2 linked regions of the Arabidopsis thaliana genome follow. The protein of the gene in region 1 interacts with the protein of each later gene in a pairwise test. Each region holds a gene or a part of one and is shown on either strand. Other genes may lie near its edges. The genes, in order: ABCB23 and AT4G04760.

The links.
Region 2: the proteins of ABCB23 (region 1) and AT4G04760 interact in a protein complementation assay, tested with the Arabidopsis thaliana proteins (one large-scale study listed by BioGRID).

What each region holds. Positions count from the first base shown.
Region 1 is NC_003075.7:14,138,109-14,144,567, reverse strand, and holds ABCB23 (ABC transporter of the mitochondrion 1), read left to right. Parts: upstream 1-3,513; 5' UTR 3,514-3,672; coding exon 3,673-5,232; intron 5,233-5,556; coding exon 5,557-6,033; 3' UTR 6,034-6,247; downstream 6,248-6,459. Other genes in the region: AT4G28650 (Leucine-rich repeat transmembrane protein kinase family protein), read left to right, coding at 1-413; IAA11 (indole-3-acetic acid inducible 11), read right to left, coding at 640-824, 920-981, 1,073-1,205, 1,298-1,566, 2,021-2,280. UniProt on the Arabidopsis thaliana protein: Performs an essential function in the generation of cytoplasmic iron-sulfur proteins by mediating export of Fe/S cluster precursors synthesized by NFS1 and other mitochondrial proteins.
Region 2 is NC_003075.7:2,421,100-2,427,558, forward strand, and holds the start of AT4G04760 (Major facilitator superfamily protein), read left to right. Parts: upstream 1-3,064; coding exon 3,065-3,208; intron 3,209-3,292; coding exon 3,293-3,355; intron 3,356-3,452; coding exon 3,453-3,542; intron 3,543-3,660; coding exon 3,661-3,720; intron 3,721-3,845; coding exon 3,846-3,911; intron 3,912-4,114; coding exon 4,115-4,180; intron 4,181-4,257; coding exon 4,258-4,333; intron 4,334-4,432; coding exon 4,433-4,497; intron 4,498-4,582; coding exon 4,583-4,675; intron 4,676-4,951; coding exon 4,952-5,041; intron 5,042-5,138; coding exon 5,139-5,223; intron 5,224-5,321; coding exon 5,322-5,365; intron 5,366-5,460; coding exon 5,461-5,523; intron 5,524-5,620; coding exon 5,621-5,680; coding exon of another isoform or gene 5,681-5,685; intron 5,686-5,773; coding exon 5,774-5,827; intron 5,828-6,006; coding exon 6,007-6,066; intron 6,067-6,308; coding exon 6,309-6,423; intron 6,424-6,459. Other genes in the region: AT4G04750 (Major facilitator superfamily protein), read left to right, coding at 1-71, 147-190, 273-335, 452-511, 599-652, 757-816, 894-1,008, 1,383-1,525. UniProt on the Arabidopsis thaliana protein: Sugar transporter.

The sequences.
Region 1 (6,459 bases):
ATGGATACACTTTGAAGGTGGATGAGAAGATAGACATATACAGCTACGGCGTCGTACTATTGGAGCTGTTAACCGGAAGAAGACCATTGGAACCGGAGTTTGGAGAATCAGTAGACATTGTGGAGTGGGTGAGAAGGAAGATAAGAGACAACATATCACTAGAAGAAGCATTAGATCCTAACGTAGGAAACTGCAGATATGTGCAAGAAGAGATGCTTTTAGTTCTACAGATTGCTCTTCTCTGCACTACAAAGCTCCCGAAAGACAGACCTTCGATGAGAGATGTGATATCGATGCTCGGAGAGGCTAAACCGAGGAGGAAAAGTAATAGTAATGAAGAGAACACTAGTCGTAGCTTGGCCGAGAAACATTCATCGGTTTTTAGTACTTCACCTGTAAATGGCCTTCTTTAGTATGAGATTTAAGAATCAAAAGAGGCCGATAAACTGATTCGTTCGATTCGTGTTCTGTATGTAGAAGAAAGAGAGAAAGAGAGAGAGATATGTATCTTTTGATTTAATTTTTCCATGTAGAATAAGTTTCCTTTGTTTTACATGATCATATTAACTTTGTGCATTGCTCTGAACCGTTTTGTTTTTGTGCAAGAAAGGGTTTTCTTATAGATTTTTAAAGTGTGATTTACAAAGAGAACATATAACTAACTAAAAGAAAAATGGCAGAGCCAAAAAAGAAACTGTAAAGGGGAGAGAAGAAGAAGAAGCTTCTTACAATGTTTTTGTCTTCTCTTTGATCTGTGATCTGTCTTATTACTGCTTCAAACATAAAGGGTTCTTCGTAGATTATTATTTGCTTCATAATATCATCTGAGCTGTAAACAAGGATCACACAAACACGGTCACAACGACAAAACAATGATTTTAATACAGATATCAGGATTTGATCGAATCAGTAAATGTACCTTTACCAGTAGCCTCCGATGTTTTCATTATCCGGAGCCTTCTCACTGAACCAATAAACATCCTAGACACAAGTAAAACTCAGGTTCAAACTTCAGAATTTGACGCTTACACGGGACAAAGCATCAAAAGCATAAGAACATATGTATGCATACCCCCACGGAACATCGCCAACAAGCATCCAATCTCCTTCCTTGTCTTCATACGTTAGTACTAATCCGGAAGACCCATCTGGTAGTATCTTGACCGGTGTTTCCATGTGACCATCGGTTTCTAGTGTGCGTGAACCTGATTAAAGAAAGAATCATAACTTCATTTCCCATACCAAGAACCAACTTCAAAGGAACCAAAAAAAAGGCCATGAGATTCGAAAAGCACACCTAATTTAGGTTTCAGAAACATTTCCTCTAGAGTGTTTGACAATGATTCATAGCATTTATGAGCATTCAGATCGATTTTCCTTCCAATAGGAATGCCATCCATAGTCACCTTAACAAACATGGAATTTCTCATCTTTGTTGAATCACTTCTATTCTTGTTTACGGCTTGACTTATCTCCAAGTTCGGATCTTCAGTGGCTGAAGCCTTAGCTTGGTTAACCATACTGTTCATTCTGTAAGTCCTTATTGGTGGCCATCCCACAACTTGCCTGCCATTTTCAAAGGTTTCAAATTGCTCAAATAAGAGTAAACACATAAAAAGGGTTATAAACACTTCAGGGCCTTGTAAAATCAGATACCAAGAGAATCACTATACAGGATTAATCACTTTCTCTCCAAAGCTAATAAATACTTTAGAATCCAAGAAGAAAAAAACTGTCATCTCTAGAAAACGATAGTAAGATTCAATTTGAAGATATAATGACCAAAGCAAACTATCTAATGATCAGGAAGATACATTCAAAGTCATCTATACGTAACAAAGGTCGAATCTTTTCAGATAACTGTGATCAAGGACATTCTGTCTAATCAATCCCATAACCATAAAAAGCAAAAATCAAATCTTTATTTATAGTTCTATTGATAATCATGATATTAAGAATCCCCAAATAAACCATAATTGATCAAAATGTAAAAGAGGAAAGGGAAGAGAATTTCACTCACCCACTAGTTGCAGCCATGGAATCAGCTGTCCTCTTGATCCCAGCAATTACGCTAGCTCTGCTCAGAGAAGAAGATGATGAAGAAGAAGAAGAATCATCAGCGTAAACCCTACAATCTCGATACCCTTTGCGACCAAGGCTCAACGTAAGACCAAGCTCAAGCTCATTCCCTATAGGAGAAGAAGAATCCTCACAAGAAACGACGAGATTTTCATCGTTTGACAAAGCCGAAGCCGATCCACTAGCGGAACCGCCTTCCATTTTCGACAAAACCAGAAGCTGAGAATTAAGATTTTGATTGTGAGGGAAGGGAGGAAAAAGAGATGGGTTGAATTTGAAGCAAAGATTGAGACTTTAAGTAAGGCAGAAACAGTGAGAAAGAAAAAGGGAAACAAAGGATGAACAAGAAGACACGACGGGTGGGATTTGTCTCTTTTTCACTTCCCTAACTTTTAGTCTTATTTCTCGCCCAATTTTATCATTTTTTTGATCCAATAATAAATTTCTCACATTATTCCGTGACTATATTTACTAGAAACTCTTTTTTTTTCCTTCTTTTAACAATATCCACTTATGTAAGTTTTTAAAATAAAATATGTGGACTTTTGGTATAATTATTTCAATTTTTCGTAAGTTTATATAGGGAAGTTTTACAATTATGCGAAATTCCGTTGTAATATATTTATAAACTTATAATCAATTAACGATAGGATTAGATGCCAAAAAATATAATGGACAACATGATTTTTCAAAATGTATATTATTGTATTAATGTTCAGATTTTTGTAGTTGGTATTTGACTCCAAAATCTGATATAAGATCGGATAGATTTCAAAGAAAATTTGATATCAAAACGGTAGTATCCGTGGTATTAATAAAAACATTTTTAAAAGGCTGGAAAATAAAATAAAAACAAAATTCATACAAATATATATTTTCAAGAAGTGGGGGCTCACATGTCAGCTTCATGGGATTCAATCGGACGGCTAGAAAAAGATTACTTAGAAGGCTTAGTGGGACCCACGTGTACAGAGAGGGGGGACTCGTGCCCACACGTCCTTTGGTCCATCCATCTTTCCAAATCGGACGGTGCTGATTAGTTCCGGTTTAAAGCTATTGATAGTTAGATACCATCACTATATAGGTTTAATTAGTATTTTAAAATCAAGTGGCAATCTAATCTTTAATCACGTAATTAAAATTGAATTTTTAAGGCAATAAAGGAGTTTAGCTGTCCATTTTTAGTGGTGTCCGAATAAAAACCCTGTCGTCTGGAGGGAAGACATAACCGACCGTTGCTTCTTTTCACTTTCCAAATAAACCGTTCAATTTTTTAATTAATTGCATATAGTAGAAGAGTTGAATTTTCGAAAGAGTCCATGTGAGAGAATGAATACTCTGAGATTCGCTGCGGTGTGTACCACCGTATCTGATTCTCTCAAGCCCAGTTGCAATCAAACCAGTACCGGTTATCTCCGAGATAGCTAATTTCATTATCTTAATAAAAACAGAAAACCAAAACCGGTTATTTCCGAGTTGATATCTTCTTCCTCGTCTTCTTGTTAAGCTACTCTGTAGTACAGAGAGAACAAAACAGAGAATTAAAGAATCGATTTAGACCAAATTGTATGTGATTCGTTCGGACAAGAAGCGATGATGAGGGGATCTCGGTTTCTCCTCTCTCGCGCTTCTCTGTATCACCGTCTTCGCTCTGATCATCACCATCACAGTTTCTCCAGTTTTATCAAACGTAGCTCAATTCAGAGATCACCAGCTATCAATGCATTCTTCACCGATCCATCTCCATCTCCATCTCCAGTCAACGCACGAGTCTTCTTCTTCTCAACTTCAACTTCAACTCCAAATCAAGATCAAACCAAAACAGCATCATCTAAGAAGATCCTCCGCACGATTTCAAGCTATCTATGGATGAAAGACAACCCAGAACTCCGATTCAGAGTCATCGCTGCTTTAGCGTGTCTCATAGGAGCTAAGTTCTTGAATGTTCAAGTTCCTTTCCTCTTCAAATTATCTATCGATTTACTCTCTTCATATTCATCTTCAACAATCACTGATTCAAATCCTTATCTACTTGCTGCTTTCGCTACTCCTTCTTCCGTTCTCATTGGCTATGGCATTGCTCGATCTGGATCTTCAGCTTTTAACGAGCTTCGTACTGCTGTTTTCTCCAAAGTATCTCTCCGCACAATACGATCTGTTTCTCGTAAAGTGCTCTCGCATTTACATGATCTTGATCTTCGTTACCATTTGAATCGAGAAACAGGAGCTTTGAATAGAATCATTGACCGTGGAAGTCGCGCGATTAACACGATCCTCTCTGCTATGGTTTTCAATGTTGTTCCAACGATCTTGGAGATATCAATGGTCACAGGTATATTAGCATACAATTTTGGACCTGTTTTTGCTTTGATCACTTCTCTTTCCGTTGGATCATACATAGCTTTCACATTGGTTGTGACACAGTATAGAACTAAGTTTAGAAAAGCTATGAACCAAGCTGATAATGATGCAAGCACAAGAGCTATTGATTCTCTTGTAAACTACGAGACTGTTAAGTATTTTAACAACGAAGATTACGAAGCGAGAAAGTACGATGATTTACTCGGAAGATATGAAGATGCTGCATTGCAAACTCAGAAGAGTCTTGCGTTTTTAGATTTTGGACAGAGTTTTATATTTAGTACAGCTTTGTCAACATCAATGGTGTTGTGTTCTCAAGGGATTATGAATGGAGAGATGACAGTTGGTGATTTGGTGATGGTGAATGGTCTTCTCTTTCAATTGTCTCTTCCTCTTTACTTTCTCGGTGGTGTTTACCGTGAAACCGTTCAGGGTCTTGTTGATATGAAATCATTGTTCCAGTTGCTAGAGGAGAGATCCGATATTGGAGATAAAGATACAGAGACAAAGCTACCTCCTCTTGTTCTGAGAGGTGGAAGCATCAGTTTTGAGAATGTACATTTTAGTTATCTGCCAGAGAGAAAGATTTTGGATGGGATTTCATTTGAGGTACCGGCAGGGAAAAGTGTAGCGATTGTTGGTAGTAGCGGAAGCGGCAAATCGACGATTCTTAGAATGATTTTCAGGTTCTTTGACACAGATTCTGGTAATGTTAGGATTGATGGTCAAGATATAAAGGAAGTGACACTAGAGAGTCTTCGAAGCTGCATTGGAGTTGTCCCTCAAGATACTGTAAGTTGCCATTTTGACTAGAATTGTTCTCTTACATTTTGTTGTTATTAGTCTAAACCGTGACAAATTAGGTAAAATGTTAGTTATCTACTTAGGGCTTATTGGAAAAATCTATTTAGGGTATTTTAAACTTTTTTGTTATTCAGTCACAATTTCTACATAAATCACATGCAGATGACATTTTACACTCCAAAAGTGATTCTGATTAAACCTGATGATCTTAATTTTCATTTTAATATCAAATCGATTTAATGGTTATAACTTGCATACTTAAAGATAAACTAGACTAATCATAGCCTCAATTGACTCCTGGAATTATGGCAGGTGCTCTTCAATGACACAATATTTCACAACATTCACTATGGAAACCTTTCAGCAACAGAAGAAGAGGTGTACGATGCAGCTAGGCGAGCAGTGATTCACGATACGATCATGAAATTTCCGGATAAATATTCGACCGCGGTGGGAGAAAGAGGGCTGATGCTGAGTGGTGGAGAAAAACAAAGAGTGGCACTTGCTCGTGCCTTTCTGAAATCACCAGCGATTCTCTTGTGTGACGAAGCAACGAATGCGCTTGATAGTAAAACCGAGGCAGAGATAATGAAAACGTTCAGGTCGCTAGCGAGTAACAGAACATGCATTTTCATTGCACATAGGCTGACCACTGCGATGCAATGTGATGAGATAATAGTAATGGAGAAAGGGAAAGTGGTGGAAAAAGGGACACACCAAGTGTTGTTGGAGAAATCTGGCAGATACGCTAAATTATGGACACAACAAAACAGTACACTGGAGGTGTGAATCTCAAGAGCTAGACAGCTAGTGTTTGGGTTCTGTTTTCGCCTCACTAATTCTTTTTTTTTGCTGACTTCCCTTATTTTTGGAATCATATATTTGCAAATATCATTGATGGTACTTTGTAGCCTTGTTACAAAAAATAAAACATATTTGTAACCTTGGGAAAATCATTTATAGTCGTAGAGGTACCAAACCGATTTTTTCAATTACCTTTTGACAAATCAAAAAGTTTCGTTATTCGGTTTTAAAGTAAGCTATTTGTATTACCTTTGGAATCATTGAATTGGATAAAAACCAATAGTCCTTGAAGTATCCGGTTCTCATGCCTAAAACACGTGGCAATCGAACCAGGACCGGTTATCTCCGAGATATCTAATTCATAATCTTATTGTAAACAAAGACTGGGGAGGTTATTAACAAGTTGAGATC
Region 2 (6,459 bases), about 12 Mb from region 1:
TATATCTATGCCTCAGCTTGGAGGTCTTAATGGTTATACTTTTTACACCGATACCATTTTCACCTCTACCGGTAAATAATAACCCCATTCTTCTTCTTTGATATTTCTTCATCAAACGGTCAATCATTATCTGATTGAATGATCAGGTGTATCAAGTGACATTGGATTCATATTGACATCTATTGTTCAGGTTTTACTAATATAAGATCATAAAGCATGACTATTATTCATAAGTTTATTTTTCCTATAACAATCTATCATCATTCTTGTAGATGACTGGAGGCGTTTTAGGTGTTTTGCTTGTGGATATATCCGGAAGACGTTCTCTCCTACTGGTAAACGAAATTTAAAACTCGAAAAACCGAAAGTGTATAAATAATCGAATCGATAAGTTATTTGAAATTATTTGTTTTGAAGAAGATTAAAGAGAAGATTTTTTGAGTGATTGTAGTTTTCTCAAGCTGGAATGTTCTTGGGTTGTCTAGCAACAGCCATTTCATTCTTCTTGCAGGCATGTTTACTAGTCTACTAAACCGGTGGTTTGGTTTCAATTTTGAAAAACCGGAATGTAATCTTTTTTGGGTTTCTTACTCTACAGAAGAACAATTGCTGGGAAACAGGAACACCAATAATGGCTCTCATTAGTGTTATGGTAATTAATAATCTATCATCACAATAAATAGATATATTCAAAAGACCATTATTTAAACAATGCCAAAACTGTAACATGGTGTTTTGTGTATTTTATCATATTAGGTGTATTTTGGATCATACGGATTAGGCATGGGACCAATACCATGGATCATAGCATCAGAGGTTGATTAATCAATTTTAAAAAACTAACCCACTAACTAAATGTTAAATCATTATAACGTTACTATTATTTTTATTAGATTTACCCTGTAGACGTGAAAGGAGCAGCAGGAACAGTGTGTAACTTGGTCACCTCTATAAGCTCATGGCTCGTTACTTACTCCTTCAATTTTTTGCTTCAATGGAGTTCTACAGGTAATTAATCTTTAATACTCCCTCTGTTCCAAACTGATTAATTTTTTAGAAAAAAAAATATTTTTAAAAGATTGATATTTTAAGTTTTTCATACAATATTTATTGATTAGTATTGATGAATTGTAATTTAAAAAAAATTAATTAATTATCATTGGTTTAAAGTTATAGAAAACTGTAAAACACAAAAAATAATATATTTATATTCAACATTTAATATATTTTCTTAATATGTGTGTCTTTTCTACAAAATCAAACTTTAAGAAACATAAAGAATATATTTTTATTATATACAAAAAGGTTTTAACTATCATAAAGAAATATTTGAGAAAAAAAACTATAAAAAACAAATGATTTATTCCATAACATTATTGCAGGAACGTTTATGATGTTTGCCACTGTGATGGGTCTTGGATTTGTGTTCACAGCCAAGCTTGTTCCAGAGACCAAAGGCAAATCTTTAGAAGAAATTCAATCTGCTTTTACTGATTCTACTTCTGAAGATTCTACAATTTTCTAAGAGATAAAATAAAATTACCTTCAAACTTTAATTTCAGATCTCTTTATATTTCATGGGGTTTGTCTTTCTTTTTTCCATCGTATTTTTACGATTGGGTCATTGGCCTATAAATATTTATTAAATTGGTCCCTGAAAGGGATCTACAGTTCAACTGAAAAGCTTGGTTAAGGCATATATTATGATATATATCATGTTTATATGTTTTCGACGCAACAACAATATACAACCTGATAACCATAAAATTACAAAATCTTAATAGCATCTCTAATGATTGTCTCTATTTTTTCATTTAAATATAGAGAAAAAAGTTAAAAAAAAATTATTTTTACACTAATAGTTTTTGAAAAATAGAGATCTCTATTTGTTACAAAATTTTTTTTAGAAAAAGTAGAGATATCTATTTTTGAGATAAAAATAAATATGAATTACAGTGAAATAAAAACAAAATTAAAATATAAAAATAAAAATAGAGATGAGTTGGAGATACTCTAATTATAAAAAAAAAACAAATAGAATTGATGGAAAATGAGATCTTATGACGTGAAATGCTTGTTTACACATGTCTACAGCTTTTACGTAAGCGCATTTACTTGCATTTAAGATTGAAAAATATTTGAGAACCTTATATTCACCTCCTTTATTTTAGCCAATTAAAATCTGAAACCTAATAATAATAAAAAGAATTTTATTTAATTATAAAATCTAAGTTGCCACTAAAATGAAATTATGTATCGGTTTGGATTTATTAGAAAAAGTCAAGGTTTAAATTTTATGATTAAACGAGGTTAAATATCGGTTTGAGTTTGGAAAGTGCGATTAGAGTTTAGATTTGATGATTAAACGGGTTAAATATTAGTTTAAATTTATAAACAGATTTAGATTTTATAATTAAACGAGGTTAAATGTCAGTTTGGGTTTAGAAAATACGATTAGGATTTAGTTTTTTACGATTAAATAAGTTTTTAAATGGCGATTTAGGTTTACAAAGGAGAATTAGGGTTTAGATTTTGTAATTAAACGAAATTATATATTAGCTTGGATTTATAATTATAGGTTTAATTTATTATGTAATTTAAATAAGATTTAACATTGCATGTTTTTATTGGTTAATACAAAAGGAGCTGAATAAATGGGTGAACTCAAGTTTAATTCTTTAAGATTTCACATGTTTTAAATGAGTGAAAATCCAGACCAACAAATAAAAATATAGATGATTCGATTTTCAGAAGTTGGTAACAAACTTGCACGATCTAAGTGAATCCAAAACAATAGATAAAATATGGTTTTTAATAAAAACAATTAAAATAAAATATAATTATAGTTATAATTTAATTACCTATGTTAATTTTTTATATGTTTTCTTAGAACTAATATTATATGTCCACGAGAAAGAAACAAAAGCAAACACAATTTGTGTTTAGTTTTCAGTTCCGCTATTTTTGCAGTTTTTGCTCCACGAGACCAACAATCTTCCAAACTCGAAAAGGTTTGAGCATTTTCCTGAAGCAAATTTGATTCATAATCACAGATTTCTGAAAAATGGCAGAAGAAGGTTTATTATTACCAGCTTCTTCTACTTCTTCTTCTTCTTCACTTTTGTCTGAAATATCAAATGCATGCACGAGACCTTTTGTTCTTGCTTTCATTGTCGGTTCTTGCGGCGCCTTTGCCTTTGGATGCATTGTGAGTTTCCTAATGCGTTCTTGCATGTTTAATTTTTTATTAAACCTAATTAAAATGTTACTATTTGATTCTTTATGTTCACAGATTGGATATTCGGCTCCGACACAAACAAGTATCATGAAAGACTTGAATCTCTCCATAGCTGATGCAAGTTCAATCACTTTTTTATTTTTTTGTTGCTCTTACGGTTTATTCCGGTTTATTTCTGGTTCGATATGATCTTGGTTTTCTTTTCTTTGCTCAGTATTCACTATTTGGATCGATATTGACGGTGGGGTTAATCCTTGGAGCATTAATCTGTGGGAAGTTAACAGATTTAGTTGGTCGTGTCAAAGTAAGTTTCTTCTACTTAAGAATGATTAGTGTTTAAAACTTTCTTATAACGAATTGGATATGATTATACAATTATGGTTATTAATCATCTTTATGTGATTATTCTCTTTCTAACTAAGACTATATGGATCACAAACATCCTCTTTGTAATCGGATGGTTCGCTATTGCATTTGCCAAGGTTTGTTTCTTTCTGAGTTCTTTCTATAATGGTTTAGATTGTACTGTTTTTAAGTCGATATATTATTATAGTTCCTCAACTGTATCTTATTACTATTTTTGTTCTTTGACTTTTTGGTTACAAAGGGTGTTTGGCTGCTTGATCTCGGAAGGTTACTACAAGGGATCTCGATCGGAATTAGCGTATATTTGGTATGAGTGAATACTAAAACTAGAAGGGTTTGGTATTTTTTCTTATTTATGGTGTGACTTTTTGATTTAGAGGTAGCTAGTTGGTAATGTAGTTATGTAGCATTGAAACTTATTTGATATCTTGTAACTTGTAAGTTTTATGTTCAGATATATTTAGTTCTCTTTTGTAACAAATCTTATGATCTGATAATTATTAATTACAGGGACCAGTTTACATCACCGAGATAGCACCAAGAAACTTGCGAGGAGCTGCTTCTTCCTTCGCGCAGGTAAAACTCAAGAGAACCAAAAGCTTGGAAACTATTATAAGCATTTTCCTTCACTACAAGTTTTGAATGTTTTACAGTTATTCGCCGGTGTTGGTATATCGGTCTTTTATGCACTTGGAACCATCGTTGCCTGGCGCAATTTAGCCATTTTGGGTATGTTAAAAAAGACCGATTCTTATCGATTTGCAAAAATCGAAAACTTCTCATTTCTCGAAGTACAAGAAAATGTACTAATGGTTTTTCTTTGAACAGGATGTATACCTTCTCTAATGGTTCTGCCTCTTCTTTTCTTCATCCCCGAATCTCCTAGATGGCTAGTAAGCATTTGGTTATAACAAAAAACTTTTGGTCGAATATCTTAAAATCGTAAATCAAATAAACCAAGATGAAATTTGTTGGTAGGCTAAAGTAGGAAGAGAAATGGAAGTTGAAGCAGTTTTGTTAAGCCTGCGAGGAGAAAAATCTGATGTATCAGATGAAGCAGCAGAGATATTAGTAAGGACCTTCTAATCTACTGGGTTTCGGTTTGGCATCGAGTCCAGTATAATAAACCAAATATAAACCATGAAATTTGAATTTATGGGGACCAAAGATTCGAACCTCCAATTGAGGGTGAAACTGGACTTTAACTTCTATTTTTTGTGGACTAGGATTGCGATCCGAATTCTGTATAGTTATGGTGTTATATAAAACTTATTAGGGGAGACAGGTCGTTCATCCTTTTTGATTTTTTTTATAACATAAATTTCTAAACAATTTGATGATTATCAGGAATATACAGAACATGTTAAACAACAACAAGACATCGATGACCGCGGTTTCTTCAAGCTATTTCAGCGAAAATATGCATTCTCACTTACTGTAAGTAACTATTCAAAAAGGTTAAAAAAACTTCAAAATCTAGCATTATTTTGTTTGCATTTGCTTGATTTATATATTTCATTTGGTTTATATACAGATTGGAGTTGTTCTTATAGCTTTGCCTCAGCTTGGAGGTCTTAACGGTTATTCTTTTTACACTGACTCCATTTTCATCTCTACCGGTATATAATCCTTCTTCTTCTTGTTTCTCTTTATTTGATCTAACATAATGATATGATTACTTCATCAAATGGTCCTTAAATACTATCCGATGATCCAGGTGTATCGAGTGACTTTGGATTCATATCTACATCAGTTGTTCAGGTTATAGTTATACTAATACAATACCATAGAGCATGGTTAGACAAAACTCTTTCCGTATAATATTCTATACACTTTTTGACCAATCATTTTTGTAGATGTTTGGAGGCATTTTAGGTACTGTGCTTGTTGATGTATCTGGAAGACGTACACTCCTATTGGTAAAACAAAATTTAAAACTCGTATCCGAAATCGATATGTTAATTTTGTTAGGTTTTCGAACAAAGTTTAGGAATATATTTTGAGTGATCATTGTAGGTTTCTCAAGCTGGAATGTTCTTGGGTTGTCTTACCACAGCCATTTCATTCTTCTTGAAGGCATGGTTACTATTCCATCTACTCTACTAAACCGGAAATTAATTTTGGTTTGTTATACCGGACCTTAAAATTACCGGTTATTTCGTTCTACAGGAGAATCATTGCTGGGAAACAGGAACTCCTGTCTTGGCTCTCTTTAGTGTTATGGTAATTAATAAGGGTTTTAGGATTTAGAATTTAAAATGTTTTTTAGATATAAAGTTTTAGACTATTTAAATTTGAAAATCTAAAATAATTTTCTGATTTTAATTTTCTAATTTAGTGTTGAATTTTCATAATTTTCCCGTAACAACTGTATTTTGATTTTTGATTATTTATTTTATTAGGTGTATTTTGGATCATACGGTTCTGGTATGGGATCAATACCATGGATCATAGCATCAGAGGTAAATAAATATTTAAAAAAAGTTTAAAAATATATCGCAGACATTTAAATTATGTTACACTCATTATAACAATTATGTATCGCATACATCTAGATTTTTAAATCATTAGTTCAATAACACTGAATTTCATTAGAGTTTTTAAAATCCGTGATTGAATAACATCGGATTTGTAAATTTTACACAAATAACTTAAAATACTAGATTGAATACATCCCTCTTAATGTTTTTATTTTCTTTTCAAGATTTATCCAGTAGATGTTAAGGGAGCAGCGGGAACAATGTGTAACTTGGTCAGCTCTATAAGCGCATGGCTTGTTGCTTATTCCTTCAGTTACTTGCTTCAATGGAGCTCCACAGGTAAAAATCTTTAATACAATTGAACTAAAGTTGACA